5 linked regions of the Rattus norvegicus genome follow. The protein of the gene in region 1 binds, or shares a complex with, the protein of each later gene. Links are inferred from orthologs where the notes say so. Each region holds a gene or a part of one and is shown in the gene's direction. Other genes may lie near its edges. The genes, in order: Gabarap, Stx17, Calr, Wdfy3 and Tp53inp2.

Evidence for each region.
Region 2: the proteins of Gabarap (region 1) and Stx17 are in contact, whole or in part, in a crystal structure (PDB 7BV4), measured with the Homo sapiens proteins. The link is inferred for Rattus norvegicus from reciprocal best matches to the Homo sapiens genes GABARAP and STX17. Residues at the interface, in NP_009209.1 of Homo sapiens: Tyr5, His9, Lys13, Glu17, Lys20, Ile21, Arg28, Pro30, Lys46, Lys47, Lys48, Tyr49, Leu50, Pro52, Leu55, Gln59, Phe60, Phe62, Leu63, Lys66, Arg67, Phe104; in NP_060389.2 of Homo sapiens: Ala169, Glu170, Ser171, Trp172, Glu173, Thr174, Leu175, Glu176, Asp178, Leu179, Glu181, Leu182.
Region 3: the proteins of Gabarap (region 1) and Calr are in contact, whole or in part, in a crystal structure (PDB 3DOW), measured with the Homo sapiens proteins. The link is inferred for Rattus norvegicus from reciprocal best matches to the Homo sapiens genes GABARAP and CALR. Residues at the interface, in NP_009209.1 of Homo sapiens: Glu17, Ile21, Tyr25, Arg28, Pro30, Val31, Ile32, Lys48, Tyr49, Leu50, Val51, Pro52, Leu55, Phe60, Leu63, Ile64, Arg67, Phe104; in NP_004334.1 of Homo sapiens: Asp199, Trp200, Asp201, Phe202, Leu203, Pro204, Pro205.
Region 4: the proteins of Gabarap (region 1) and Wdfy3 are in contact, whole or in part, in a crystal structure (PDB 3WIM), measured with the Homo sapiens proteins. The link is inferred for Rattus norvegicus from reciprocal best matches to the Homo sapiens genes GABARAP and WDFY3. Residues at the interface, in NP_009209.1 of Homo sapiens: Glu17, Ile21, Lys24, Tyr25, Arg28, Pro30, Lys46, Lys48, Tyr49, Leu50, Val51, Pro52, Asp54, Leu55, Leu63, Lys66, Arg67, Phe104; in NP_055806.2 of Homo sapiens: Glu3342, Lys3343, Asp3344, Gly3345, Phe3346, Ile3347, Phe3348, Val3349, Asn3350, Tyr3351, Ser3352.
Region 5: the proteins of Gabarap (region 1) and Tp53inp2 are in contact, whole or in part, in a crystal structure (PDB 8T31), measured with the Homo sapiens proteins. The link is inferred for Rattus norvegicus from reciprocal best matches to the Homo sapiens genes GABARAP and TP53INP2. Residues at the interface, in NP_009209.1 of Homo sapiens: Tyr5, Glu17, Ile21, Tyr25, Arg28, Pro30, Val31, Ile32, Lys46, Lys48, Tyr49, Leu50, Val51, Pro52, Asp54, Leu55, Gln59, Leu63, Arg67, Phe104; in NP_001316358.1 of Homo sapiens: Glu31, Val32, Asp33, Gly34, Trp35, Leu36, Ile37, Ile38, Asp39, Leu40, Pro41.

Annotation. Positions count from the first base shown.
Region 1 is NC_086028.1:55,211,292-55,217,169, forward strand, and holds Gabarap (gamma-aminobutyric acid receptor-associated protein), read left to right. Parts: upstream 1-2,173; 5' UTR 2,174-2,279; coding exon 2,280-2,369; intron 2,370-2,910; coding exon 2,911-2,989; intron 2,990-3,128; coding exon 3,129-3,247; intron 3,248-4,679; coding exon 4,680-4,745; 3' UTR 4,746-5,496; downstream 5,497-5,878. Other genes in the region: Ctdnep1 (CTD nuclear envelope phosphatase 1), read left to right, coding at 71-155, 549-609. UniProt on the Homo sapiens protein: Ubiquitin-like modifier that plays a role in intracellular transport of GABA(A) receptors and its interaction with the cytoskeleton.
Region 2 is NC_086023.1:67,239,122-67,245,212, forward strand, and holds the start of Stx17 (syntaxin-17), read left to right. Parts: upstream 1-2,621; 5' UTR 2,622-2,645; exon of another isoform or gene 2,646-2,753; intron 2,754-6,091. UniProt on the Homo sapiens protein: SNAREs, soluble N-ethylmaleimide-sensitive factor-attachment protein receptors, are essential proteins for fusion of cellular membranes.
Region 3 is NC_086037.1:40,210,882-40,217,022, forward strand, and holds the start of Calr (calreticulin precursor), read left to right. Parts: upstream 1-2,485; 5' UTR 2,486-2,548; coding exon 2,549-2,639; intron 2,640-2,997; coding exon 2,998-3,099; intron 3,100-3,292; coding exon 3,293-3,496; intron 3,497-4,397; coding exon 4,398-4,492; intron 4,493-4,579; coding exon 4,580-4,789; intron 4,790-4,868; coding exon 4,869-4,982; intron 4,983-5,149; coding exon 5,150-5,293; intron 5,294-6,141. UniProt on the Homo sapiens protein: Calcium-binding chaperone that promotes folding, oligomeric assembly and quality control in the endoplasmic reticulum (ER) via the calreticulin/calnexin cycle.
Region 4 is NC_086032.1:8,105,611-8,111,031, forward strand, and holds part of Wdfy3 (WD repeat and FYVE domain-containing protein 3), read left to right. Parts: intron 1-1,803; coding exon 1,804-2,121; intron 2,122-2,352; coding exon 2,353-2,464; intron 2,465-2,813; coding exon 2,814-3,011; intron 3,012-5,421. UniProt on the Homo sapiens protein: Required for selective macroautophagy (aggrephagy). Acts as an adapter protein by linking specific proteins destined for degradation to the core autophagic machinery members, such as the ATG5-ATG12-ATG16L E3-like ligase, SQSTM1 and LC3.
Region 5 is NC_086021.1:164,339,470-164,345,632, forward strand, and holds the start of Tp53inp2 (tumor protein p53-inducible nuclear protein 2), read left to right. Parts: upstream 1-2,667; 5' UTR 2,668-2,864; intron 2,865-2,908; exon of another isoform or gene 2,909-3,205; intron 3,206-3,735; exon of another isoform or gene 3,736-3,973; intron 3,974-6,122; 5' UTR 6,123-6,163. UniProt on the Homo sapiens protein: Dual regulator of transcription and autophagy. Positively regulates autophagy and is required for autophagosome formation and processing.

The DNA of each region.
Region 1 (5,878 bases):
TATTGAGGAAAGTCTCATAGGCTCTTCTGAATTTTTTGCATTTTCTCAATTTTAATTTTACCTACCCTAGACAATGCCATCCCCATCAAATCCTGGTTCAGTGACCCCAGTGACACAGCCCTTCTCAACCTTCTCCCAATGTTGGACGCCCTCAGGTAAGGGAGGTGGCCTGTAGACTATAGGTTTTGTTCTTTTTTTTTTGGAGACAAATTCTTTTTATGTAGCCTATGCTGGCTTGGAACTTGCTTCTTGGACCTTGTTTTCGCTTCTCCAGTGCTGTGATTACAGGAGTACACTACCAAAACTGGCAGGATTTGGATTGCCAAGGAAAAGAGGTGTGGGAAATCTAAAAGAATTGGGGGGGAAAAGGCATTCAGAACTTAAGTGTGTGGGCCAGGTCTTCCTACTCATTACTCGTACCCTTTTGGCTTCTGTCCAGTTTCACTGTGTGAAAGTGTTATTGAGTTGTGTCTTGTCCAGTGAGACTCCGTTGTGTTAGTGTTGTCAACTGTAAGGTAGTCCACCAACGCAAGTTCCTGTCATTCCAGGTTCACTGCTGATGTCCGATCGGTGCTGAGCCGAAACCTTCACCAACATAGGCTCTGGTGACAGCTGCTCCCCCTCCACCTGAGTTGGGGTGGAGGGGAAAGGGAGGGAGAACTCTTCGGACGGCCGTCTGTAGCCCTGTCCAGTGTGAGGACTGCCTGGGCAGAGTCTGCTCCTCCCGCCCCTCTCTGCCCTGGGAGCCCTACACTCCGCTTACGGAGTCAGGATGGACACATGGGCCAGACTGTGAAGCAGCCTCACTCTTTGTGTTCACACTCCGTGGAAATGCCAGACTGGGACAGGCGAAGGCCTAGGGGAACCGAAACCGTCTGGTGAAGAGGCAGGACTGGCCAGAGTGACAGACATATCCCAGAGGCTCAAAAGAAGCCAATTCAACTTTGTTGTGATTTGATTTTTTAAAAACTCTTATACAAAACTGATCTAATTCTTCACTCCTGCTCCAAGGGCTGGGCTGTGGGTGGGGACTGGGATTTCGGGCCACTGGATCTTCCTCAGTCTTGTCCCTTCCTTACTTTTCCTCATTTTTTTTCTTTCCCCAACCCCCCAATACCTGTAATCAGCTCCTTTCTTCCTTCCTCTTTTAAACCATGCATTATAACTTTGAAACCAAAGCTGCCCTAGATCCTTCTCTGATGTTTTTGGAGGGAACTTTGTTACATTTGCTCTGCCTCTGAAGCAGAGGGGCAAGATGCTGTTTGGAGTGCGGAAGTGGGATTCAGCACAGGGATAAAGTAATTTATGCCGGTGTTTGGCTGGAAAAGCCCCACTGACTGGATAGAGTCCCTGATGCACAGTGGAAGAGCAACTTTAGGACATAGAAGGCTGAAGAGGAAAAAAATCTAGAACCCTCGAAGGGCAAACAGCTGGAGAAAGGCTGGGCTTGACTGGGAAGTTGACGTGGACAGGCTGAGAGGGCGCTGCCTACGAGCTGTTGGCACTCCGGCAATAACTTGGGGCGGAGCCCTCTTTCCTGGCACCTCCTCTCCAGAGCCGGGACTACATTTTGGCCCTCGCCACGTGATTCTCCGCCCTTTTCTGAGGTCACATGATTTTGTTTGCAACACTCCGGGATGTGTTCCTCCGCCCTGATATAGTCCCTATCTTTGGGATTTTTGCAGTTTCTATTGGTCCGCCTGAGTCTTGAGCCTTCGCTGTGTCTGCAAACCTCTTTCTTCTCCGTCTTATGGTATCCTTATTCACACCTTGGGTACTACTTTGTTTTGGTGTCAACGGCCACCTTCAGCGTAGCAACACGTTTCATGAATATCTAGACTTGTAATTGCCTTTCCCTAACGTAATTTCCGAAAATAACTGCAGAACTAAATCTCACGACTGCCACTTAGTACCACTCTCGTCCTCTGCTTTGTACTGTGGGGCTACCTGGGGAAGGATTTTTCAGTTGACTTGAAACGACAGCAACCTTATCTGCGATGTCATACGCGTAACTCACAAATTGATTCCAAAGCAGTTACGCTGAAGGCGTAAGAGGACGGAGCAGCGGGTTGCGCTAGCAAGCTGAGCTCGTGGTGTATGTCAGCAGGCGGGGCCGGTCCGGACGGTCGGGGGCGGGGTTGGTGAATAGGGAAGTGGCGCAAATTCGTGGATCGCTCCGCTGAGTCTGTTCGTCGAAGCCGCCTCCGCCGCCGTCCCCTGTCCCGGCCCCCCCCCTGGGTTCCCTCAGCCCAGCTCGGTCCAGCCCGGTTCTCGGGAGAATGAAGTTCGTGTACAAAGAGGAGCATCCGTTCGAGAAGCGCCGCTCTGAGGGCGAGAAAATCCGAAAGAAATACCCAGACCGGGTCCCGGTAAGGACTAGCCAGGGCCGACGCTAGCGTCGCTGACGCTGTCGCCACAAACTAGGCTTGAGTCTGGGAAAGCCGAGGTCAGACTCCAGTCTGCCTTGAGGTTAGAACTCTTGTCTCTGGTACCAAGGGCGAGAGGTCTGAAGAAGTAGAGCTGGGAGTGCGATGTGGACGGGAGAGAGTGAGACCTGGGAATTTCTCAGAATGGAGGCCTTAGTGAGCTTGACAACCAGAGTTTCCATGGCCATGCTCCCAAGTAGCTAGATTTAAGGTAGATTTTTTTTGACCTAAACAAGTTATCCTGTATTCACTGATGAAAATAGTTATTGTGATGAACCGTTCTGGGATCAATTCTCAATATTTAGGTAAGACAGTGAGGCCAGGATCTCTGGACCTAATGTTGATACACCACGCATGTAAGGATAAATATTATTAAGAAATGAGATTGCAATAGGCTTCAGTACAAGGAAATATTGTACCTTGAGTTCTTCATCGATATAGCTGTACGTTTTTTAAAATCTCATTCGTACCTTCCTTTCATCAGGTGATAGTGGAAAAAGCTCCCAAAGCTCGGATAGGGGACCTGGACAAAAAGAAATACTTGGTGCCTTCTGATCTTACAGGTGGGAGCTTGACCCATGGTGTATGTTTCTTTCTGTGGGTGGGCCTGCCATCTCTGTGGGAGGAGGCTTCACCTGGCAGCTGTTTTCTGGTGGCACCTACGATCTCTTTGACTTTCTTGTATCTCCTGTTTTTGGGCAGTTGGTCAATTCTACTTCTTGATCCGGAAGCGAATTCATCTCCGTGCTGAAGATGCCTTGTTTTTCTTTGTCAACAATGTCATTCCACCCACCAGTGCCACGATGGGTCAGCTGTACCAGGTATAGTACCATGGCCGTGTTTGGAGAGGAAAGAAAAGGTCAGCAGTTCCTGTTGGCTTACTAGCTTTAAAAGGTCAATAAAGTCCTGGGTTGGGATCTTAATAGCAGTGGGAGGAGAGAGGGTATGAGCTGGTGGAGTTGTTTTGACTGGGACTCTTACTACCTAAGGAAGTCTCTTTCCCTTATCCAAGAGTCCCAGATGTCAAAAAAATAGTTTGAGGAGTGGTGGTGTTGTTGGTTTTGTTGTTGTTGTTGTTGTTCTTTTTTCTTTCGGAGACAGGGTTTCTCTTTGTAATCTTGGCTGTCCTGGAACCCCCTCTTGTAGACCAGGCTGGCCTCTGAACTCCAGAGATCCACTTGGTTTTGCCTCCCTTGGGCTAGGCTTAACAAAAGGTGTGTGCCACCACTGCACTAAAACTTGACATGTAGACCAGGCTGACCTCAGGCTCAGAGATCTTCCTGCTTCTGCTTCTTGAGTGCTGGTATTAAAGGTGTTAGAAGTTCCAGTCCTGAATAACGACTGATAATGGTGCACACCTTTGATCCTCTAAGTCCAAGCACAGTTTTAATCCGATCCAGGCTGCTGGATTTCTTGGAGTTTGAGGCTATCCTAATGAGTCAGAGATACTTAGTGAGACCCTGTATCAAAAATAAGAAGTAAAAACAAAATAAAACAAATCAAAAACACCTTCCCCCCCAAATTAAAAAAACCCACAGAACCACTGCACGTTGGGTGTGATCATGCCACAGCTTCAGTCCCAGCGCTCCGGGAGCAGAGGGAGGTAGATCTCTGAATTCCAAGGTCAGTGTGCTCTACACAGGGAGTTCCAGGGCTACATAATGAGACCCTATCTCAAAAGCAAAACCTCTAAAAGATACCCCCACCCCCACCCCCACCCCACAGAGCAAGCAAACCCTTGAGAGGCTGAGGCAATAGTATCAAGTTGGAGGTCAATGGCTGCATAGTATAGTGAGTTTGAGGTCAGTCTTTTTCTTTTTTGTATTTTCCAGACAGGGTCTCTGTGTAATAGCCTGGTTGTCCTGGAGCTCACTCTGTAGACTAAGCTAGTCTCCAACTCACAGAGTTCCTCCTGCCTCTGCCTCCAAAGCGCTGGGATTGACGGTGTGTGCCACCACTGCCCAGCCAGGGTCACCATTTCCTAAAGGAGCAAGAGAATAAGGACAGTCTGCTTTTCTCTTATTCCTTTTGTACTAAGGAGCATGTCTGGTACCTACAAATGCTTATGGATGATCTGTACCTGTAGATCTATTTTGAGTCAGGTTCTTAAGTTGCCTTGGTGGCCTTGAGATTTCCGTCCTTCCTGCATCTGGAATTACCAGGCCATGCTTAAAATGATTCTTGAGGAATGTATTGGTGATAAATGGTTGGAGTAATGAGTTGCCTTAAACCTCCTTTTTGCTTTTACTTCAGGAACACCATGAAGAAGACTTCTTTCTATACATTGCCTACAGTGATGAAAGCGTCTACGGTCTGTGAAGTTGCTGTCCCGGAGGTGGGGGTTCCATTCTACAAAGAGAGGTGGCGCTCCTTCCTTGGCATCCAGTTCCTCCTTCAGGCTCAAACACCATCTCCTTTCTTCAGGACCTGCACTTAATGTTTGAGGCTGTCTCTCCAGTCCCTCTGAGCAGGAGGGGTAATGGTAGATGCAGCCGCTGTACATCTCTCTTTCCCCTTGTTTACCCTCCATTCCCACTCTGCTTTAGACTTCTGGATTGTCGATCTCTGTCACATCGGATGATTGTTTTGGTTTCTATTCCCTTTCTAACTGCCCACTGGGCTCAGAACCCCAATAAACCCTTCCTTTCACTACCTTCTTTTTGGGGGGTAGATGGAAGGGGTTGACATTGGGTGGGGGAGGTAGGAGGCACATCAATAAAGAGGAAACCACCGAGCTGAATTGAATTTGCCCTGTGTCATTCTACCTCCTGGCTTTTTGTTTCAAGTGTTGTGAACTTCAGTGGTGGGAAAGGAGGATTGAGGTATAGATCAGAGAACTAGGAAGGCATTGATGATGTTGGTCTTTCCTCCTTTTTTGATGAGTGGAATAATGTAAGCATTCTCTCATGAAACTTTAATTGTATTTATGTATTTGTGATGTAAACAAAGAGGTGGAGGTTGGTAGTGTGGGGTGGTATGGAGAAAGTTTGAAAGAACTATTTTTTGGTAAACATGTCCAAATGTTACTTCCCATTAAAGAAGATATGTTCCTGTTTGGGAGGTGGTAAAAGGACTGTCTTTAACTGGTTGTCACTGGCAGAGGTTGTGCCAGTGTATGGGATTCTGTAAAGTATAATTTGAGAGAGGGCAAATACTAGAAGGTGCCATTATCACTAGGAGAACTTCATCTCCCAACATCCATTTCTCCTGGCCGGAAGTGGGGCGGTTCCCTGTTGGTGGTAAAAAGGTACAAAGTGAGGCAGTATGGTGGCCGAGAGTTATAATCCCTTCTTCGTCCACTTTCTTGGTCCCGCCCAGCCTACACTTCCCGGGAGTCAGTGCGCACTCTTCCGCTCTCACCCCCCCTCAGCTTCGTATCTCCCCGCCACTCCCCTGGTGGTGGTGGTGGTGGTGGTGGGGAAGTTGCTTATTGCGCCTGCGCCAATCCGTGG
Region 2 (6,091 bases), on another chromosome or scaffold:
ATTTTTCAGTCCATTTGTCATTTATATATAGAAGAGCCACAGATATTTGTGACTTGATTTTGTACCCAGTTATTTTGCTAAGAATGTTTATAAGTTATAGAAATTTCCTGGTGGGATTTTCAGGGTCACCTATGCATACTGTCATGTCATCTTCAAATAAAAATACTTAGACTTCTTCCATTCCGATTTATATCCACTTGCTCTTCAGTTGCCTTACTGCACTAGCTAAGACTTCAAGCACTGTATTGAATAGGTGTGGAGAGAGTGGAGAGTCTGGCCTTGTTCCTGATTTTAGAAGAAAAGCTTTGAGTTTCTGTCTATTTAAGTTGATGCTGGCTATGGGCTTGCTGTAAACTCCCTTTATTTTGTTGAGGTGTGTCTCTTGTATCCCTGTTCTCTCCAGAACTTTTATCATACAGGGATGGTGGAGTTTTGTCAATGGCCTTTTCTGCATCTAAAGAGATGATCATGTATTTTTTGTCTTTGAGATTGTTGCTATCTGACGCTCCTTTTAAGTCTCCCCTTCGCCCCGCCCAACCTCACTGGGGCTATTCAGCTCCTTTGATAGGTTCTCTACCTTCTCAGAAACACAAACACACATTTTTCTCAGTGTTCACTTTCCTACTACATTTTTAACTTTGTGATTATCATTTGGGAAAGCCACCTCTTTAATCACCTTGAAGTCATTCGAACTCATTTCTACAGGCTCTATGTGGAAGCAATAGTCTTACCAGGTAATGATTTCCCTTTTTGGCTTCTTTCTGGAATGTATATTGCTTACTGTTTTGTTTTGTTCGGATCTGGTTTAGTTAGGATATCAAGAAAACTTTGTCTCATGGCAGCAGATCTTATTATCCTAATAACTTTATGGCTTAGGGCAAGAGCACAAAACCTGGTCACACTCCTTATGTCTCAATATTGAAAGATTCAATTAAATATTGTAAATTATAAGTGTAGCTAGCAAACTGTTAGATTAAATATCTTTATCTTTCTACCTGATACACCTAGGTTACAGCAAACATCATAGAGCTACCTAGAAGGCCAGATCAACCCTAGAGGGCCACAGCTTCCTGTGGCACTTTTTCAGAACTTAACACCGATTATCTTTAATTCAAAAGGTCCTGTTTAACCAATTCTTTGTGTGTGTGTGTGTGTGTGTGTGTGTGTGAGAGAGAGAGAGAGAGAGAGAGAGAGAGAGAGCACATCATCATCTCTCAGTGAACCTGGGGCTTACCAATTCAACAAGACCAGCTGTCTGCCGGGCTAGCTCATGGATCCTTTTGTCTATCTAGACAGCATTTATAAACATATGCCACAGAACTTGGCTTTTTATATGGGTGCTGGGTGTCCAAACTCGGGCCTTCAATCTTGTGCTTATCCCCTTTGCCAATTAAACCATTCCCTATTTCTCTTGTTTAACTGACTCTCTGGCATAAAAAAAAAATAAATAAAAGTTTACTAAGGTATTACCTAATACATTTACTTTTCTCCTTGGGATGAAAATTTGATAGACATACCCCATTTTATGAATTAAGGGAACCATAAACACTAGCATTCAACATACCCCAAAGAAAATCCAAATAGCTTAATTAATAGTGGGTTTTATTTTAAACATCGACTTTCAAGACTTTCTTTTTTTTTTTTTTTTTTGGTTCTTTTTTTTTGGGAGCTGGGGACCGAACCCAGGGCCTTGCGCTTCCTAGGCAAGGGCTCTACCACTGAGCTAAATCCCCAACCCCCACTTTCAAGACTTTCTTAAGCCCCTAATCTGTGGGCTAAAATTCTCCCTCTACTTTCATTCCACCTGAAGAACTGAGTTTCCTTAGAGCCAACAGGAATCTTCTTAAGACTGTTGAAAACTACCCTATCAGAAGATCCACTCTAAGCAAAAACCTGAAAAAATGTGTGTGTGTGTGTGTGTGTGTGTGTGTGTGTGTTGTGTATGTGTATGCATATTTTAGTTGGCTAGGTCTTGAGGTCAGAACATTCAGAGAGGAGGACCAATGACCTGCACACACTTCAAAGCTTGTTCTTGCAGCAGCTGGTCCAACTGGAATGACTTGAGAAGGAAAGTAGGGAAACCAGGTGTGAGTCCAGCTCTGTCACAAACGGGCTGGACTGGAGTGAGTCACTTCATATCTGTGCTGAGCCTCAAAGCGACAAGCTATCATTTTAATAAGGACAGACGCCCAAAGCACGGCAGCAGGCTGTGGACAAAAAAAAGTTCATCTCTGCTTCCTTTTGTGCCTGTGGCCATTCAGATGCCCCCTAGCCTGTCACTCAGGGGCTTTGGGAGGCGGGGCGAGGCGGGGGAGGTTGGCACACCGTTTCTGAGCTTCAGTTTCACACACCTGAAGAGCTGAGGGTACGAGGCTGTCCTCGCCAACAAAATTCAAGGAACACAATGTGCAGGAAAACTGTAACATGTAGAGGGTTGTCCGAATGTAAATTGTCTTGGATACAGTACACAAGACGACCCATAAAACAACACTTTTGGAATTGTTCCTCCAGAGGCGGGCTCTCTATCTACATCACGCCCGCTGGGGTGATGGGGGCGGGGCCGTGTAACTCCGCCCTTAGCGAGAACGCCCCGCCCCTCGCGCCTGCGCACTTTGTACCGACGGCCTCGAGCGCCTAGGCGGGAGGTAAGGGGCTGGCGGGCTGCCCCCTCGGGGGCGCTGGGCTACGACGTGGCACCGCGGGCCGGGCTGTGGACGCACCGGAGAGGCACCGGTCTCCAAGCCCGGCTTCGGGTTAGTGTGAGCTCCGGGGCCGCGAGTAGAAGTGGCCAAGCCTCCCTGGTTTCAGTTTTGGAGTAGCTGTCCCTGCGGGAGCGGGGAGGCCGAGGCCCCGCGGCGCCATGCCCTCCGGGGTCGCTATGAAGAGGTGCTCCGGGCCCTGGGTCTCTGGGCCAGCCGCGCTGCAGGGGTTGCCAGTGTAGCCCGGGTGCGCCCTGGTGACTCCATGAGGACGCCGGTGCCTAAGCAGGACGCGGAGAGGCCGCAGCTGCGGGGCCGAGTCAGCGCTTAGGCTGCGTGTACCACCCACATGCCCAAGGGGATGCATTTCTTTAGGGGTAGTGCTGTCAACTATTAGGGACATTTTTTTCTAGGAAAGGGGCTCTTTCGCTTTTAGATAACTCTCGAGTAATTTACTTCACATTTGGGTACTTTTTTCTTCTTGTGGAACCCTAGTATCATGGTACCCAATGTCATCTTAGTTGCAAGTACCAAGAGATCAAGTTTGTAAAGCACTTGACACCTCTCACTGCAAATGTGTGTGCTTGGAAAATGACTGCGGTCCTGACCTCTAAAGACTTCGAAACGATTCTTTCATCCATGAAACAGCAATTCGTATACATGCACAAACACGAAACAAAAACTTTGGAGTAATTTACAATTATTGAAAAGTCTCGTAAATTGCAGGAGGCTTTGGTGGCCCACGCCTTTAACCCCAGCACTTCCGAGGCAGAGGTAGGGGAATCTCTTGAGTTCAAGGCTAGCCTAGTCTACAGACTGAATTCCAGGACAGCCAGAACTACACAGAGAAACCCTGTTTTTAAAAAAGAAAGTAAGAAAACCGGTACTAGTAATAACAGAACACTACAGCACCCTTGTATTAGTATTTCACATACCATACATTGTACAGTCACTGAGAGCAAGAGATTAATATTAGATTAACTGGGTCTCTCTGTGATTCCATTCTTTTTATCAGAGTCCTTCCTCCAATGGGATCTAATATACAACCTTAACTCTTTATCGACCTGGCGCCATTACCCTTTCCAATCTGTAACAGTCTCATGACTTTTATGCTTTTGAAGAGTCAGGATTGTTGGTAGTGCCTTCAATCAGGAGTTTGTCTACAGTTACTTGTGACTAGATTGTGTTGCATTTCTCTTAAGAATACCACAGGGTGTAAGTACCCCTTTTCAGTGTATGCCTCCATGGAACCTCCAGATGGGACCTACTGCTTGTGTGTTGACACAATCATGATAAATTTGGTATCTGGGGGAGTCTCCATAGCAACTAGTACTCCAGTTATTCTCCCAGTACTATTACTTTGATACTGTGACAACCTTCAATTTCCCTCCTTCCTTTATTGAATTCTCAAAGGAGGAGCTTTCCACTTCTCTCATTTCTTTATCTGTATTCAATTCTTTGTGTCAACATAAACTTAGGATTGCTGGGTCCTGGTGACACATGCTTTTAATCCTAGCACTTGGGAGGCAGAGACAGGTGGTTCCCTGAGTTCAAGGCCAGCCTGGTCTACAGATTTGAGTTCCAGGACAGCCAGGGCTACACAGAGGAAGCCTGTCTTGGAAAAATCAAAACACAAAAGCTCATATGATTATTTTACTGTTATTATGTACTTTGGCCATTAGGCTTTGTGTTGTCATTATTATTTTCTGTACCTCTGACTTCTTCACCAGTTCTGGAATCAACGCCATCTCTCCTGGTCTCCTTCCCTCACCTGCAGCCCTCTCTCTGTCTTTCAGAGTGGTATTAGACACTAAGGCCTGTGGTCTAGGGGTACTCACAGCTACTAGGGTGTCATTGCACCCAGAGCCTCACAAAAGATAGCAGTACATACAGACTGGTATCTCTCTGTCTTTTTACACTACCAAGATCATCTTGGTATTGGCTCCTGCTTGTTCTCTAACTGAGGACTGACTCATTTTCTGGGAATTGTTCCCCTATCTGTTCAGTCCTGGTATATGCAGAAAGTCACTCCAGTATGTCTGAAATATACTACCCAGAGAAGCATACAGCACAACTGTTGTCACCTTACAGTGGTCACCAAACTACCATGTCCTGCTCTTTACCTGCTTCCTTCCCCTTGGTAATGCAGTCTTACTTCTCCTGTATCTTGATGTTTTTAAGTTTGCATGAAGTAGCATTTACTCTTTGATGTGTATAGGCCCATGGGTTTCGACAAGTGCAAATATAACTACTCTATGATAATAAATCCTATCACAGATACTCTTTGCTTTTTAAAAATCATTAAAATAATATAACTTCACAGAAGTTTCAGAATCATGTATTTTTGGATTTTTTTTACATGTGTAAGCTCTTTATCTTTTTAAACATGTAGCATGGTCCGACTTTATGACTAAAAAATAAAAACCAATGGAATGTACTTTCAGTCATTTTTCAAACACTTCTACAGCAGATTTTGACATTGAACAGGTATTCTTTAACAGATAACAAATGTGAGCTATTTTATTATTTGATGGCATGGTAGATGATATTTTGTTATGGTAACACAATGCCTGCAATAATTTGAATATTATGCTCTCAGATATATAATTACATATTATATATGTAAATGATAGAAAAAATTTAATTCTATCTAGAAGGGGAGTGTGAACTAGAAAAGTCTCCTAGGACACCATTTCCCTCCCCACTAATCAAACTAATCATTGGCTTGAATATGGAGAAGTATTTCTGGTAGAATGTAAATAGAAGAATCTTTAAAGGCTTATTTGGCAATGAGTATATTTTTAAAACTTAAAGTTTCTATTTTTAGCTGTCTAAGTAGTCATGGGAGGTAATATGGATTTACATATGAGGAAAGAAATCAGAATATAGTTTCTAATAGTAGAAACAGGATCATCTTAAATAGCTAACAATGGTTGATTACATTACAGAACACGCACAGTGTAATACTATGCTACTAAAAGTAGGTATATAGTAAGAATGTTTACATGGTAACATTTTCTGTATACTTGGTCATATTATTCAGTTAGTCAGTCATCCCAGCAATAGGTTATTATTTTCATTACATACTTTTATTTTCTTCATTGTTGTGTTTTTCATAATCCTTTGCAATGTTTTGTGTTTTAAAGGGGAGAAAGATGAATTCAGTAAATATTTAGTGACCATATTACCTACCAGATACCTTAACAGACTCTAGGGATCCTGGGGAGTACCAAAAAGAAATGTGCATGTTCTCTCTCTGTCTCTCTCTGTCTCTCTCTCACAAACACTCCCTTTCTTGCCCCCCCCCCAGAGTCCCTTTCCCTCTATCTGTCTCTCTCTCACACACACTTCCTTTCTCTCTGTCTCTCTGTCTCTGTCTGTCTGTCTGTCTC
Region 3 (6,141 bases), on another chromosome or scaffold:
CACACACACACACACACACACACACACACACACACACACAGTTATTTGGTAACAACAATCTAAAAGTGGACCATGCTTCAGACTTTTTTTTTCCAGTATAGGGATGGAACGCAGACCTTAGGTTTTGCTAGGCAAGGGCTCCATCACAGAGGTACACATCCCCAGTCCTGAGACACTCTCAGAAACTCATTAATTGGGCTGGAGAGATGGCTCAGTGGTTAAGAGCAGCGACTGTTCTTCCAGAGGTCCCGAGTTCAATTCCCAGCAACCACATGGTGGTTCACAGTCATCTGTAGTGGGATTCGATGTCCCTTTCTGGTGTGTGTTAAGAGAGAAACTCATTATTTAAGCCCGTTACACATCATTTCTAGTACTTCCTGATTCCAATCCGGTTATAGACAAATCATGTATTCAGGTTTCATCAGTTTAGACCCCTTTCTCCTCAGCTTCAAAACACCTTATTTTCTTCTTTTGTGACAGGATCTCACTATGTAACTCTGACTGACCTAGACTGCACTAAGTGACACCAGGCTGACCTGGAACTCATTGGCCCTCCCAATGCTGGGGCTGAATGTGTGCTTGGGTCAGAGGACTTCAGCTCTCACCTTCCACCTTATCTGACACCGAGTCTCTTGTTCTTTTTTTCCTTCTGGGTTACAAGCTAGCAGGTCAAGAGCTCCTGGGTGACTCCCATGTTCCTGCCTGCGATCCTGCTGAAGTTGACAGCTGTGCTTTGCCACATTTGGTTTCTTTTTTAGTTTTTAAATTTCATTTTATTCGTATAGGTGTTTCGCCTGCACGTATTTCTCTCTACCATTTGATGTCTGGTGCCCACAGAAGAGGGTTTCAGACCCTTTGAAACTGGAGTTACAGGTCATTTTGATGCTTCACGAGGGGGCTGGGAATAGAACTGGGGTAGTTCGAAAGAGCAGCCAAAACAAATCTCTCCAGTCCATTATTTCATTGTGCTGAAGCAGGGTCTCATGTAGCCCAGGCTGGCCTCAAACTCACTACATCATAGCTGAGAATTACATTGAACTTTTGATCCCTGCTTCATTCAACTTCTTAAGTACTAGGACAAAGCAGAAGGCATATGTGTCAGTCACAGGACTGGAGACAGGGCCAGTCACAGGTCTGTTGGACTTGGGTGTCCTCCAGAGGGACCTACACCAGCAATGCTTAGTTCTGGACACTGCCTGGGGAACAGAGTGGACCCCCAACTTCTTGACCTTAAGTGTCATTACTGCTTGAGTTCCTCTCACTGAGAAGGAAGCACTCCATTTTTGTAAGGATTCCTTCTGTGCAGTTCCTTGTCTGTTCCAGTGTTCCCAATTCCTCAGTTTGGAAACACCTCCCATCCCCCAACCCCTACAGGTACTGTCCTTCCTCCTCCTAGCAGCAAGCAGGGTGCTGGCCACAGTCACATGATTTGAGTCAGAGGCCTCCAGATCCAAGGGTCCTGCTTATCTCCTTAGAACTCTATCACCACAGCCATCTGTGTCCTTTTTCCTTCTCAAACGGCACCCCTTGCTGTCTGCTCATAGCCGTTTAATTGCAAAAGCCAAGTCGTTTGTGGGAGACCACAAGAAGTGACTCTTTCCATTTTCCAGCGTAAGAGTAAAAAATGATAGAGGTAGGGTTACTACCTCTCACCCAAGGACACACACTTACATTCACACCGATGAGACCACTATGTTTCCTGCTCTCAAACCGTGGATAGCCCTGAAAGGTTTAAGAGCATTTCTGTCAGATAGCTCAGGGTCACCCCTGTTGGCTTCTGAGATTTCAGGGAGGCGAAGTGACTTGTATCATGTCACACAGTAGTCTGACAGGCTGTCAGGGAACTACGGGACAAGAGGAGAAAGCTGGTACATTCTCTACTGGCCTGAACAACTGGGAACCAGAATGCAGCGAAACCCCAGGATCCTGGCCCTTGACCTTATCCTGAATAGGAAAAGCTTGCCATCGGTGGGCGTTCCCTAAGTGCAGTATAGATGGAACATCAAAGTTGCAAAGAATCCTTGCTTCTTCCCTCTGACCAGAAAGGATGGAAAAAGGCCGAGACGAGACGGAGGCCCAGTCTCGGTCCCGCACGGTTAACACCCGGTACTGCTCGCGCGGATTCTTTAAACGACTTCATGGCGAGCAAGGGACTCTCACCAGCAAGGGCGGGGTTGGGCTGAGGCTCAGTCACGTGACCGCGCCTGAGTGGGCTCGCGGCCCCCACCCCAACAGGGGGCGTCCCCTACAACGCGTGGTCGACCCTGATTGGCCCAGGGTGCGGCCAATAGAAATCAGCCATCTGGGATCCCAGCGTTCCGAGCCACAGCCTAACTTGCTGAGGCGACTAGGACGCAATGAGAAGGGACAGCTGTAGGTCTAAACCAGTCAGAAGGACCGAGGGGCGGGCTCAGCGGTCGTGTCAGGTTGGGATGAGAGGTAGGTGGATATAAATTGGAGCAGCGGCGGCCGCGTCCGTCAATACCGCAGAGCCGCTGCTTGAAGATCGTTTTAAAGGGCCAGTGTGCCGCCGCCCCCTCGGCCCGCCATGCTCCTTTCGGTGCCGCTCCTGCTTGGCCTCCTCGGCCTGGCTGCCGCAGACCCTGCCATCTATTTCAAAGAGCAGTTCTTGGACGGAGGTAAGGTCTGGGCCCGCCTCGAGGCCGCCTCAGCGACTGCTGGGCCCCGAGCCCTCGGCTGCCTCGTCGTGTGTAAAGTAATTACCGTTCAGAGGGCCAACACTGTGGCCCCGGGGGGACTAGAGCCGCGGGCGGTTCCATTTGTGCGTCCTTGGGGGACCAGGAAGGCGCAGCGGTTTCCCGCGCCCGGAGTTAAGGTTCGTTCAAGGACCTGAAGCCGATCGAGGTGTCAAGTTCGAGGTTGGGATGGGAATCCCCTTCCCCACCCCCACTTGCTTGTAGCTCCTGACAGACGTTGGTTATGGGGGCGGGGGTCGGACGGTCCCGCTGATCTGACTCCTAAGCCTTTCTCTTTCAGATGCCTGGACCAACCGCTGGGTCGAATCCAAACATAAGTCTGATTTTGGCAAATTCGTCCTCAGTTCTGGCAAATTCTACGGGGACCAGGAGAAGGATAAAGGTACGAGGGAGTGGGTGCTTGGATTCAAGACAACTTCCTGGAGGAAGCTCTTGTCAGTGCACACAGCTTGTTGGAGCTTTTCCCAGGAATGAGGGAGCCAATGACAGGTGGAGGAAGGAAGGGGCGGTCAACTGTGCCCCTCAAGGTCTAGGGTATTTGGGGTCCACCTAACGACAATCCCATTTCATCACAGGGTTGCAGACAAGCCAAGATGCCCGATTTTACGCGCTGTCCGCCAGATTCGAACCCTTCAGCAACAAGGGCCAGACACTGGTGGTACAGTTCACCGTGAAGCATGAGCAGAATATCGACTGTGGGGGCGGCTACGTGAAGCTGTTTCCGGGTGGCTTGGACCAGAAGGACATGCATGGAGACTCAGAATATAACATCATGTTTGGTGAGGGGCCCCCAGCCAATGCTGACCTCTGCCGGTTGGACAGTGGGTGCGAACTGAAACCCTTTATAACTAGAATGCTGATCTTCATATCATGGAAAGCACTTGAATGATTTTTGTCCTGAGGGGACAACTAAAGGGTTTACTTTATTAGTTGGTGGACTCTATTAGTTGTAGATTTATATTGTTCATTTTTATGGTATTTTCTACATGTTTCTTAATTTTAGAAATGATGCTAATGACAGGGTCAAAGAAATCACTGGAAAAAGTGCAAATTTTTTATGTACCTGTGTATGTACTAGTGTGAAGGTCAGAGGGCAACTTTGGAAATCTCTTCTGTCATCTGAGTTCCAGGATCAAATTTGCATTATCAGGCTTAGTGGCAAGCACCTAATTTACCCCTGAGCCCTTTGCTGGCCCAGAATGGTACTCTTTTCAGATTTGTAGTCTTTGATGCCTTTAATAGGTATATTGAAATCAGGTGCCTCTCCATGATTCCTGAACAGCTAGGACTTCGTAGAGATCCTGTCTCAGGGGAAAAAAAAGACAAGATCAGGTCTTTATTTCTAGATAGCCATGGTACATTCCAGCATTCACACTACTGAGGTAGGTGAGTACTTTAAAGGCAGCTTCAGTTAAAGGTAACAGTATCCTCTGTCAAAAACAAAATAGGAGCTGGAGTGGATGCAATGGTTTCAAAGAACTGAAGTTCAGTTCTCAGCACTCAAACAGTAGCTCTCCAACTCCAGTGCCCTCTGCAGGCTCCTGTATATGCATGGTACACACACACACACACGTACGTACATACGTACGTACATACGTACGTACGCATAAATACATAAGGTTAGGTCTTTCTTCCCCAAGGGTAGAGCCTGCCATCAGCCTGCATATGCTTCCTACATAGGTCCGGACATCTGCGGTCCTGGCACCAAGAAGGTTCATGTCATCTTTAACTACAAGGGCAAGAACGTGCTGATCAACAAGGATATCCGGTGTAAGGTGTGTCTGGGGTAGTCATTTAAGTGGCTGTCACGGGAGGTCCAGGCAGCCTGGTGGGAGGGACTGCTCACCTCCTTCCTTCTTCAGGATGATGAATTCACACATCTATACACGCTGATTGTGCGGCCAGACAACACCTACGAGGTGAAAATTGACAACAGCCAGGTGGAGTCGGGCTCCTTGGAGGATGATTGGGACTTTCTGCCGCCCAAGAAGATTAAGGATCCTGACGCTGCCAAGCCAGAAGACTGGGATGAACGAGCCAAGATTGATGACCCCACAGATTCCAAGCCTGAGGTTAGTGTTGGGACAACAGCTCCACCTCCATCCTAGGGGGAGGACCCTGGGTCCCCCTGACCTCCCTGTATATTCCTAGGACTGGGACAAGCCAGAGCACATCCCTGACCCTGATGCTAAGAAGCCTGAGGACTGGGACGAAGAGATGGATGGAGAGTGGGAACCACCAGTGATTCAAAATCCTGAATACAAGGTAGGCTTGGGTGTTGAGGTGCTGCTCACTAGTAGGGTGCTTCCTTTGGTGCTATGATTGATGTCGCACCACAGGAAAAAGACAAGATATGCCTTGGGGTTCTAAGCAGGGTGGTTGGTTGTACTGTGGGATGTGTCCACCTCTGTTCATCTGGTTCTCTTCTACAGGGCGAATGGAAGCCACGTCAAATTGACAACCCAGATTACAAGGGTACCTGGATACACCCAGAGATTGACAATCCTGAATACTCCCCCGATGCGAATATCTATGCCTATGATAGTTTTGCTGTACTGGGCTTAGACCTCTGGCAGGTGAGACATAGGAAAGACAAGGGTTCCTGGCAGACCTCAAGTAGTCAGGATTGTACTGGTTGATCTGGAGGGAAGAACAGGCAGAGGCACCAACCTCAAGGTGTTTAAATTCTGAAATGTCCACTTATTGAGACATTTCCTGTTTTATCTCCTTTTTTTTTACTAACACAAAAGAAAGCTGATTTGTTATTGAAACGTTTTTATGTGTGTCGGTATACATAGAGGAAAAAAATTGTTGGAGAAGTTGGTTCTCTTCACCATGTGAGTCTTAGGAATCAACTCTGGTCGTTAAAAAAAAGCTTGGCAACCAAGTACCTTTATTTGCTGAGCTGTCTCTGGCCCCACTGAGCACCTTTCTGTAGGGCTACTTGGCATGTGCTAAGTAAGTCCTTTGCTAAAGTGCCCCTGCAAAATCAGCTCAGATCACCCACTTACAGCTCTGCTCACTGCCCACCCTGGCTACATAACAAAATAAGATTTGAAAAAAACATTAGTACTGAGTTTTTGTCATTGGTATGTTTTCAGTTCTCCCCAGAATGCCTGTTTTACAGAGGGAGGAGTAGTGCAAAAAGTGAAGTCAGTATTCCTGGTCATTAGGGTTTGAGTTCTGGAAGCATGGCTTCTGAACTACAATGTCCCTAGCATCACAGCCCATGCCACCCTTTCAACCCCCGCTCCACCTTTTTTTTTTTTTTTTTTTTTAAGATTTTTGAGATGGGGTTGGGGATTTAGCTCAGTGGTAGAGCGCTTGCCTAGGAAGCGCAAGGCCCTGGGTTCAATCCCCAGCTCCGAAAAAAAGAACCAAAAAAAAAAAAAAAAGATTTTTGAGGCAAGGTAGTCTTAGTGTA
Region 4 (5,421 bases), on another chromosome or scaffold:
TGGCACTAGTGACTTTTGGGAAAGCAAATGACTGACTTTGGTGATGTAAGGAGCTGCAGCATAGAAAGGTGCAGGGACTAATGTATGGAGTGTTGTGAGTGAAGTGCGTACACAGGTGCGTGCGTGGGTGCGTAAGCCACACTGTGTGTTAGAGCTAAGTTGAATCTGGACAAACGTCTCTCTGGCCATATCAGGGAACACAGCTCATTTCTGTGGGAATGGCCCCCACACAACAGTTGTCTGGGGCCTTAGAGATTAATATACTGTTCATTTTCAGAACAGTAGAAGGTTCTGTTAGGTTTTGGGGACTAGAGTGAAGAACTACAAGCTAGGTGGTTTAAATAAACAAAAAACATCACTGTCACAGCCCCAGAGGCCAGAAGTCTAAAAGTATTAACAAAACATTGCTTCTTAAGGTTCTGGGCGGGCACTTTCACATCTCTCCTGGCTTCTGCCAAGGAAGCATCCAGCTTTCCTTGGTTTCTAGACACAGCATAATTTCCAGTTGTCTCTCTCGATGTCTTTCTGCTGTGTCCACAGTTCCCTTTCTGAATGTTTACTCATTTGTCTGAGTGTGTGTGTGTCTGTGTTCAGGTGCTAAAATAAATTGGGAGATTAATGTTCTAAAAAAAAAAGAAGAAGAAAGGCGGGTGCCCAGAAGTGCAGTCTCTTGGTAAACTCAGAACCTGCCTTCTGTGCGGGAAGAAGAAACCCATAATCAGCACGTTCTGATTCTTGCGTGATCTCGGCGATGTCAGTTCCCACGGGCTCAGCCGTAGCTTCAGAAGAGGCTATGGGAAGTGTTGGTAGGAGGAACATAAAATTTCTAATCAGTAACCGTTGGGGGTCGCCTGTCTTACCCCTGAAGTGAGTCACGTTTCTTTAGTGAATGACTCAATGATCATGGTGGGCTGGAAGAGGGCAGGACTAGGCGTCGAGGCAGCGAGTGTCATCCTCTGTGTGCAAGGGGAAAGTCCACAGAGAAGGACTGAACGGTGCATACCATGGATGAGACTCAAGGCCAGCCTGGCTCATGTGTGAGTAGGTGTGTGGAGCGTGCTCTCTCCATTCCTCTCGTTTCCACGTGCTCACACCTTGCCCGTGGATCTTCCCTTTGAGAGGCATTGTTGGAGGCAGTAGGGAATGGTGTGTGTGGAGATGTAAAGGGACAGCAGGAAGATTCAGACTCGTATTAGAAGTCACGTGGTTACTGATTGCACGGATGAGACTCATGTTTGCCGTCCTACCACCATTACCACACACACACACACACACACACACACACACACACACACACACACACGCGCGCGCTGGAACGCGCCATGGACGTGACTCACGTTTGTTCTCCCCTCGGCCACTGTAAAGAGTGCAGAGGTAATGGTTTAGAGAGGAGCATAGGAGCAAGAGGCTTGGCAGGGGGAGTTTGGAAGAGGGAGGAGGTGCTTTGAGTAGAAGGTATTGGGTAAGATTTTAGACAGTGAGGTGTCGTCGGAGACAGGTGACACCAGTGCACCCGGGCTTTCTGAAGACAAGTAAAGTAGCATCAGTGCTTGGCGCTCCTGTGAGGGGGAGCAAGCAGGTGGAGCGAGCACCTGAGGAGCCAGGCTATCTGGGAGAGCGTGGTTCGGGTTTTACTAGGAGGGATCAAATGCCATGCTAGCGATTTTCTCAGTTGTGGTCTAGGACATGGAATTCTAAGGAGGGTCCTGCGTGTTCTTACCATGTAGAATCCGGCTGCATAGACTTGGTTGTGGCACTAACTGATGAGCCCGCCATCTCTCATTCTCCCAATGCTTTACCCAGGGCAGCAAGCCCAAGATGAAGACAGCAGTGATTCTGAGGCAGAAGAGCCCAGTGTCAGCCAGGATCCTAAGGACACGCCCAGCCAGCCCAGCAGCACCAGCCACAGGCCTCGGGCAGCCTCCTGCAGAGCCACCGCCACATGGTGCACTGACAGCGGCTCTGATGACTCCCGGCGCTGGTCCGACCAGCTCAGTCTTGATGAGAAAGATGGCTTCATATTTGTGAACTATTCAGAGGGCCAGGCCAGAGCACATCCTCAGGGCTCCCACTCCCACCCCAACCCCACTGAAGCACGAAGTTACAGCAGATTGAAACCTGGTAACTTGATGTTTGCTGTCTTTCCCCCTGCCCGTGAGTGTTGTGACAGGTCCTCCGGCTATGGGTCCGTCTCCCTTGAGCTCTATCCTTGATCAACTCTGTGCCTAAGCCAAAGACAGAGGCTTCCTGTAGATCAAGTGGGGCACGCTATAGAAAAGGAGCCACAGTCCGAAAACTCCCTTGATGGAACGCCCTAGGTTCAGTTCGTCTGTCTTGACGTCTCCATTTCAGGGTACCGGTGGGAGCGGCAGCTGGTGTTCAGAAGCAAACTGACTATGCACACGGCCTTTGATCGGAAGGACAACACTCATCCAGCTGAGGTCACCGCACTGGGTGTCTCCAAGTAAGAGCCCGGCTTTTTCCAGCCCACCTCCCTCTCTGGGTCATTGGACAAGGCTAGGGACCCACATTTTAACCCGGTCCTTGAAGCACACGTTGTCCTAGCTGGTCTGGTGCTTCTGGCCTAAAACTTGCCACTGTGTGGGTTTTAATTCTCAACAAATAAACCAACATCCGTGTGTGTGAAAGACATAGCAAGTGTTGAGCCAAAGGAAATTAAAATGGGAAAATAAATTCAGGTTCAGTTTTGATTTTTGTCTCCTTTAACTTCCTCTGAGGGAATCGGGGCTCCCTCTGAGCCCCCTCCCCCCACCCCGAGCCCTGAAGCAGAGGTCGTCTCCTGTTTTGCACAGGGATCACAGCAGGATCCTCGTGGGTGACAGCCGAGGCCGAGTGTTCAGCTGGTCTGTGAGTGACCAGCCTGGCCGTTCTGCGGCCGACCACTGGGTGAAGGACGAAGGTGGTGACAGCTGTTCAGGATGCTCTGTACGCTTCTCCCTCACAGAGAGAAGGCACCATTGCAGGAACTGCGGGCAGCTCTTCTGTCAGAAGTGAGTTTCCTGGGGGCGCTGTGCCCTGCATGGGCGCTGATTTGCATGGCCGTGTCCTGTGGGGTGGGGGTTTATGTAAACCCATCGTCATTTCTGCTCTTTCCTTTTCTACAATCATGAGCGACCTCTCTCATAGAGAACACAGAAACAGCTGTCAGCCCGACTTTAACACGCATGTGTATTCCACCAGATCATTCTAGAGGCACACAGGGCATGTGCGTGTCCACCCCACACACAGAACTTGTGTCCTTCCCCATCTACTGCCCTGTGTCTCTACTGCCCTCAGTGTTTGTGGCTCTGCACACAGTGTCTCGTTTCTCCGCTGTGCACTTCTCTGTAAAGTAGTACTCCACTGTTTGAAATCCACTCACAGATGTCAGCGATCGTTGCCTATCTGCTCTACTCCTGTGCCGGGACCATGTAGGAGTGCGTGTCCCTCACACTCACCCCCTAAGGATTCCTGGGGTCGTCTTTCCATTTTGCAAATTATGTAAAGCTACAGTGTGTTCTGGTCCAAGTGCCAGAGTTCTCTGCTGGAGACAGAGTAGAACACGCCACAGCACACGGGCTTGACCCTGGGTCTTAACCGTGCCTTGTAAATGACCCTCACAACTGTGCTACTACGAGTGCCGCAGGACCTTCCAAATTCTTAGTCCTCTGTGGTACGGCTGAGCCGTTTCCCCTTTGCCAACTCAGTGGCTAAGGAAATAAATGTGCCTCGAGGGTTTAACCTCAATGCTGGGGACCCTGGTGATCTTCTCAGATGCCACTGGGAGACTCCTCATTTTCCTTGAAGGTTTGTCTCTTGCACTCTTTTCTCCCTCTTGGCGGTCTCTCTCCTTGAGTTCCATGGGTACTAGGACCAGATCCTTCCGTGTCTGCACACACTTCCTGCAAGTCTGGGGCTTGTATTGAGTTTTGCATTTGTGCTGTCTTAGTACTAAGGTTCCAGTTTTGGTGTGGTTGCACTTACTATATTTGTGGTGTGTGTGTGTGTGTGTGTGTGTGTGTGATTTTAAGGTTTGCAAGTTTCACTTTTTAATCTATTTGGAGTCTGCATTGGGTCATGGGCAGGAGTCTATCTTGGCCCAAAATGAGGATGAACTCGCTATCCCCCGATTACACAGACAGCCCCCCCTCACCCAGCACACACACCCCAATTACACAGACAGCCCCCCTCGCCCAGCACACACACCTCGATTACACAGACAGCCCCCCTCGCCTAGCACACACACCCCGATTACACAGAAAGCCCCCCTCTCACCTCGATTACACAGACAGCCCCCCTCGCCCAGCACACACAGCTCTGTACTCTGACTCTCACAGTGCCTCCGTCTAAATGCTTCACAGAAAATTCCTGAGTAATCATTTTCTACAGCAAGTTCTGAGGTTTCATAGGCAGTGTATGGATTCTGGTGAGGAGGTGGCCTTTCCAGTGACTCTGATCTCTGTTCACCATTACCTCGGGTTAAGTGACTGAAAACCTTGAGCTTGTTCTCTGTGGCTAAAAGATGGATAAAGACAGCTTGCCCTGAGAGCAGCCACAAGGACCGGATGATGTAAGGATGGGAACGTAAGGATGGCAAGGGGGTGAACGGGTCGTAGTTACTATTTATTTATTTATTCTGGGAAGTAGGCTGCAAGATGAATTAGCAGGCACGCCCTGCCGGCCTTTCTGGGTGGGGCCGTCACGGCCGTGTGTTCTGACCCTGCAGTTACAGGTGGAGCACAGCCACCTTGCTGCTCTTGGGAGTGCTGTCCAAATATTAAGTATAGGTGATTCCTAAGTCAGCCACTGTTCTCATTGGGAGCACTGACTGCATAGTGCCAGCTGCTGCCAAGCCAGCCCAGGGGAAAGTTCTGTAGAGAGTAGAACCCGGCCCAGCCTTCCTGCTCTGCTGCTGAGAACAGCCACACTCCTGAGGGTTTGCACAAAATCTGACATAGCCAGCCCAGTCACCCTCCTGAGCACCCGGTTGTCCACAAGCCAACTGGATGGAGGTGTCCTTCATTTGAGACTCTCCGAAGGTGACTTAAGTGTCACTGGTACAGCTCCACAAGATGTACAGATCTCAGTTTAAAAACTGAATGTGAGGGGTTGGGGATTTAGCTCAGTGGTAGAGCGCTTGCCTAGGAAGCGCAAGGCCCTGGGTTCGGTCCCCAGCTCTGAAAAAAAGAACCAAAAAAATAAATAAATAAACTGAATGTGAAACTCCAGCGTAAGGCAACAGTGCCCCACAGCATCGCTCCAGAGTGGCCAATCGTGAATGTCCCAGAGCAAATTGAACTGAGGAACATTTGTGCCAAGTGAGGTAGGCCGTGCATACAGAGAAAGACCGTATACGGACGACGGCACACGTTCATGGCCATACGCTGAAGCTAACAAAGGCTGGCCTGACCTGGAGGTGGA
Region 5 (6,163 bases), on another chromosome or scaffold:
CGGTGCGCTTAACTGCTGAGCCAGCTCTCCGATTTTTAAAAATTTATTGAATGTGTCTGGGTGATTTGTCTGCATGTCTGTCTGCATACTAGTTGAGGGCATTGGATCCCATTTTAGACAGTTATGAGGCACCATGTGGTTGCTGGGAATTGAACTCAGGGCCCCTGGAAGAACAGTCGGTGCTCTTAGCCACTGAGCTCTTTCTCCAGTCCATCCAGTCAGACTTTTTTTTCCTTTTTTCTTTTTTTTTTCTTTTTTTCGGAGCTGGGGACCGAACCCAGGGCCTTGCGCTTGCTAGGCAAGCGCTCTACCACTGAGCTAAATCCCCAACCCCCCAGTCAGACTTTTTTAACTGGGTCTGAGTGTGCTAGCACGCCTTTAATCCCAATGCCTGGGAGGCAGAGGCAAGTGATTATCTGTGAGACCAGGTTAGTCTGATGTACATAGCAAGTTCCAGGCTAGGCAGAGTTATGTAGTGAAACTCTGACTCAATGTCAATGTGTGTCTGACACACACACACACACACACACACACACACACACTCTCTCTCTCTCTCTCTCTCATAGACCATGTGTGCTCTAACTCGAAATGTAGCCCAGGCTATCCCAGACACTGGGTAGATAGGACTACGAGTGTAAGCAACACACTCAGACACTTCCATTTGTTGAAAAAACAATTGAGACCGTCCATCAAAGTCATCACTGTCTAGTCGAATTTTGAAGACAGGGAGGAATGTTAGGAAGGCTCAGAGAAGGCAATCTAGACAGAGGAGAGAGTTTTGAAAAGACAAAGATTTACTAGCACAGGGTACACAGAGAAGAAAGGAGGAGCTGCTGTTGAGAACCGGGTCTGGGTTGTGAAGAACCATCGGTGTTGTTGGGGTTGTGGGGCTTTGTGAGAATGTAAGGTTTTAGAGGAAACAGGCGGTATGACAGGAGGGACACATTAGTGATTAGTTTGTCAGCAAGGAGGTCAAGGGAGGGTATGAGATTAGCAGGAAGTGGCTGTGCTAGGCAGAGGCTCGGGCTTGCACAAATGAGGACACACTGGAAACCCTAGTGTGAGGAACACAGTGCTAATCGTCTCCCCCCAAGCCTCTGGGTATTATTTCCTGGCTGTCTCCTCTGCCTGGCAGGCTTCAGTCCTCCCTTATAGCTTTCTGACCAGGCTGGGGCAGGGTTCTTGAAATCACCAGAGCATGGAGCTCTGAACTAGCTCCTGTTGGCCAGATGGGCAACTCTCAGAGCTTCATCTCCCAACTCTGTTCTAAAGACCCAGATGCTCTAGCAGTGGAAATCCCCTAAGGATTTCACGGGCCATTGCAAGAGCTCAAGCCTGGAGCATGAACTTGGCAGAGTCTTGAGGATGAAGGGTCTGGAAAACCCTGTCAGCTCTAAGTTTGGACACCTATGGCAGCATGTCAGGTAAACTAAGGCCCAGAATAGTAAGGACTTACTTGAAATCACATCGTTGAGACACAGGACTGGAAGCCAGGTTTCCCTGCAGACATTAGAATCCTGGAATTCAGTCCCTCTGGTGCAGGTAGTGATCAGTCAAGGCTAGTTGGTGCCTGTAAGTTAACTCCTGTTAAAACTCCTGGCTCTGCTGTTGACTATTGCTTAATTACCTCGGGAAGTTACTTAGAACCTCCTAGTCTGTTTCTTTAACTATAAAAGGAGGATAATGCCCACCTTTTGGGTTTATTGTGAAGATTAAAAAGCAGCACAGTGCTTGGCATATGTTAAGTATTCAAAGTCAGCTGGCAGTCTGGAAGAAGCAATAGTAATTGCCCCTTCTTTCCCTCCCCTCTCTTGGGGTTCCCTGTTGCTCAAGCTGCCTTTCAACTCTTGAACCTATTTCTACCTACCAAGTGCTGAAATTAAAGGCAGGTACATGTAATCTCAGTTTTTCCACATGTAAATCAGGACTTAACAATCCCTGTCCTGTCTGTCACTCCTCCCTCTGTCCTGTTCCGGTAGCAAATAAGGACTAAATAAGGTATGTAAACGTTCTAGGCTGAGCTGTCTCCAGGTCAATGTTTATTCAGCTTAGAGCAATTTCTTTCCAAGTCCCACGCTGGCCAGATTTCCCGTCAGCCCTACCAGTTCCCTAACTCGCAGGTGCTTCTTTGTAACCGCGGAACCGGCAAGGTCTGCTCAAACCCACCGGGGGAAAAAAAAAAAAAAAAAAAGGAGAGCGTGGGGGAAAACAAAACGTGTAGGGGTAAGACAGAGGAGGGAGAGCAGACAAGGACGACAGTGTGGAGAAGTGGGGTAAAGAACAAGGGGGACGGGGGCGGGGGGGAAGGGACTTACAGATGGAGCGCGGCGGGGGTGAGTGGGGTGGGTGTCCTGTACCTAAGATGAAGGCTAAGGATGTGCGGAGCGCTGGGACAAGTGAGGGAGCAGGGATATGTGCGGAAAAAGCGGCGAGGTGGGATTCTTGAGGAAGAATTGGGGGGTCGCTTTCAGTGTGAGGTCTGTGAGTGACTGGGGGCAGGGAATTCGGGCCGTCACCTCCACTCAGACAGAGGCTGGGAGCGCAGCTCCCGGGATGCAGCCACCCGCTGGCAAGCCGCGGAGGGGCGGGGAAAGAGCATTCGACGCCTGCGATTGGCCGCCGCTCCGACGGCCGCTGACGCGAGCGGGCGGGCCCCTTTGTGACGTCACAATCAGCTGTTGAAGCGTTCGGATTTGTGCCCTGAGCCCCGGCTGCAGCGGCCGCAGCAGCTCCGGGCGTCCGTTCGCGAGCCCCGCCGTCTCTCGGCCTGTCCCCGGTATGCAGCTCCGGTTGTGAGCACCGGCGACCCGGGGACGCCCGGCCGCACAACTACCTCAGCGCAGCGGTTGCTGCAGCGGCCCCAGGTGAGTCCCGACCTCGGGGTTGGGGGCTCCGGGCACCCCCAGGACACGCCCTGCGCCCCCCTCTCCCGTTCTTTGTCTGTCTCCGCCGGCGGCAGCCGGAGCTGCGTTCTTGGCTCCCTATTGGTTGCCCTAAGCCGGTAGGCCATGACGTCGCGTTATTTGCATATGACATTGAGACGTCACCAAGGCCAGCCCCGCCTTCCAGGCTTGCTTGGGTGCTTGTCCTCTGGTGACCCGGTGGGCGCTATGTTGTGCCCGGCCGGTCGAGGGTTGAGAGACGCTGAAAGGCAAGCGAGACCCGAGGGCACTCGGCGGTTCCCCGAGCTAATCTAGGGACTGAGGTCAGGCATCTCATCTGCTTTTTCCTTGCGACCTGAAGAAGGGTCAGATGGCAAAACTCGATTTAAGTCGAGAGGGTGGAAGGTAGATGAAGGAAGCTTCAGACTCCAGGTCCTGGAGACAGCACCAGATGGTAGCGGATCCCCTCAGTCTTCAGGCTCCGCCCCCTAACATAATAACATTCTTCTAATCCCTGGCATGTGTGCAGAGACTTAGTTGATGTCATTTTCAGCCTACAAATATTGAGGGTCTTAACGCCCACTTCACGGAGGGGGAAACAGACTCAGAGAGACGTAGTTTATTAGAGATCTCAGCCAATTACAATCACACCCAATAAGCGACAGATCCCTTAGCTGAAGTACAAGGTACAAGCTATATATCCATCTACTGAGGACCCTATCTTGGGTTCAGCACCAACCCAATTTGATGGGTGTTTCAGTCTTCTTCCTGATCGTGGTCATTTTCCCAGGGGGTCTCTGAAAATTGGGTCCCTTACAAGGCCCCGACCTCCTCTGCCTTCTTTCTACCTCAGAACCCAGTTAATTGCTGTCTCCCAGCTGTTTTGACCACAGAAAGGTGAGTCACTAGTTGCCTGCCTCCAGGTGTCTCCAGGGCAGATGTTGTTGAGAGCGAGTTGGGAGTTCCCTCTATTGGCTTCCCATCAGATCCCAAGCCGGCAGCTGGGAGAGCCTGGCACTAGTGATTACAGTGCTTAGGCTGTTTCCCGAGTCTGCTTCCAGGGTGACAGAAGGATGTTTCTTACTTTCCAAGTAAGTAGATCTGGAGTCCTTCCCAGGTTGGGGGTCGCTCAAGAATGGCCTGGGCTGGGATTGGCTTTGGCCTCAAGTGCTATTCTGGGCACAGCTGCTGTAGGATTAAGGGAATGGTTCTTCCTGGAGCAGAGCCAGGAATCTGAGAACCAGGAAGCCAGGAGGCTCTCCTAGTGGTCAGAGGAGGAGGGGGCAGTTGTAGCTGGCTGACTGGCTGTCACTAACTTTTGTATGATCTCCACCAGGCAGCTTCTCACTCAACATTTTCAACAGTTGAAAAGGCTCCTGTCAGGGTCTGGCACGCAGTGTGAACCATGGGAAATGCGTGCTAAAGTTTGATGCCAGGATTTCTACGTTGTTCAGTGGATAGGCACAAGGGTGCTGGCTGGACCAGGGCATGTGTCTGCTCTCCCTGTTTGCATCATTCTTGGATATTATCTGTTGAGGTTTTTCTGATTATATGCATTCTGCATTGTCACACCACCATTAAGCTATAGCTTTATTGGGTAGATGAATGTTCCTAGAACAGGAAATTTCTTGTCTTAGTCCAGGGAAGGATTGGGTCTTGGTCCAACACTTGAGTTTATCCTCAAGGGCTCCTCGCATCTGACAGCTTCCTTCTTCCACTATCTCTCTCTGGCATGTTGTCTCACTAGCCAATATTCTGTCTCTTGGCCAGGGATGCTGACTTTGAACAAGAATCTAGGAAAAGGGGGGTGGGGTTAGAGTTGTGGGGAGGACCTGTGGGCATAGGTCCCCCTCATCTGAGGGTTGCCCAATCTCATTGGGAGATTGTAGCAAGAACTGTGAGGTTTCTGTTAGGGAGCACCTTTCAAACCCCACTAATTATTCTTGGTCTATGAAAGGCTGCTGCTTAGAAAACCTTGCTGAAGTCCAAGATTTTTTTTTCCTAGAAAAATTACACGTAGCCACAGGCCTATTTATTAAGTTAAAAAAGCCTATTCTAGGGGTTGGGGATTTAGCTCAGTGGTAGAGCGCTTGCCTAGCAAGCGCAAGGCCCTGGGTTTGGTCTCCAGCTCAAAAAAAAAAAAAAAAAAAAAAAAAAAAAAAGAAAAGAAAAAAGAAAAAAAGAAAAAAAAGGCCTAATCTAGACAGTAGTGGACTGTAGTGAGTATGGGTGCCACTAACTATGTAGATTGAAATACTACCTGTGCACTTTACTAGCTGTGAGACTAGGTAGTGAACTTAACCTCTCTGGGCCTTGTTTTATTTTTCTCTTTACCAGAAAAAATATTCTCTCTCCCTCCCGCTCCTTTTCAGTCCCTTTGACGGATCTCATGTAGCCAGAGGCTGTTTAGTGTTTTAGGTAGGGTCCCATGTAGTTCAGACTGGCCTTAAAGTCACTAGGTAGCCTAACCAGGACTTGGACTCCTGATCCCCCTGCCTCCACCTTCTAAGGGCTAGGATGACAGACGTGGGGTCATCATGTCTTTGAACTCTTGTCCTCTTGCCTCTACCTCCCAAGTACTGAGATTCCAGGTTTGTCCCTTCATCCACTGTGAGGACAAATAGATGAAGTTAGTGTAGTGTATGTTACTGACACAGGAATGTTAGTAAGGATGATGATGATAGTAAGGATATGTTTTTCCCTTAGTGGAAAATTCCTATTTACTCTTCAAAGCCCAGGTTGGCTGTGTCTTCCTCTAGAGACCTACCCTGGCAAAGCCTGGTCATATATATCACTTCTTCCATATCCCCAAAGCACCCTGCCATAACACCAAGTTTATTAGCTTATTGAATGTTTACTGTGTGCTCAAGGCACTGCTCTAAACATGTCATTAAGTGTTTGGCTCATTTAACTCTTTTTTTTTTTTGGTTCTTTTTTTCGGAGCTGGGGACCGAACCCAGGGCCTTGCGCTTCCTAGGTAAGCGCTCTACCACTGAGCTAAATCCCCAGCCCCCATTTAACTCTTATTAGGGTATTACTGTTGTCATTTGACAGATGAGAAGGAAAGACCCAACACTTTCCTAAATGCAAACAGGAACACCTACTGGGTGCAGAAAAGCACACACCATAAGCTTCTCTATTGTCACTGCTGTGGTAGCTAGGGGCTTAGCCCTGTCTTCAGCTACCAAGTGAAGGGCTGACTTTAGTTTGTGGTCCTTAACGTCTTTCTATGCTTCCTAGGTCTTTGAACTGCCATAGGGCGCCCCCTTGAGGTTGCTTCA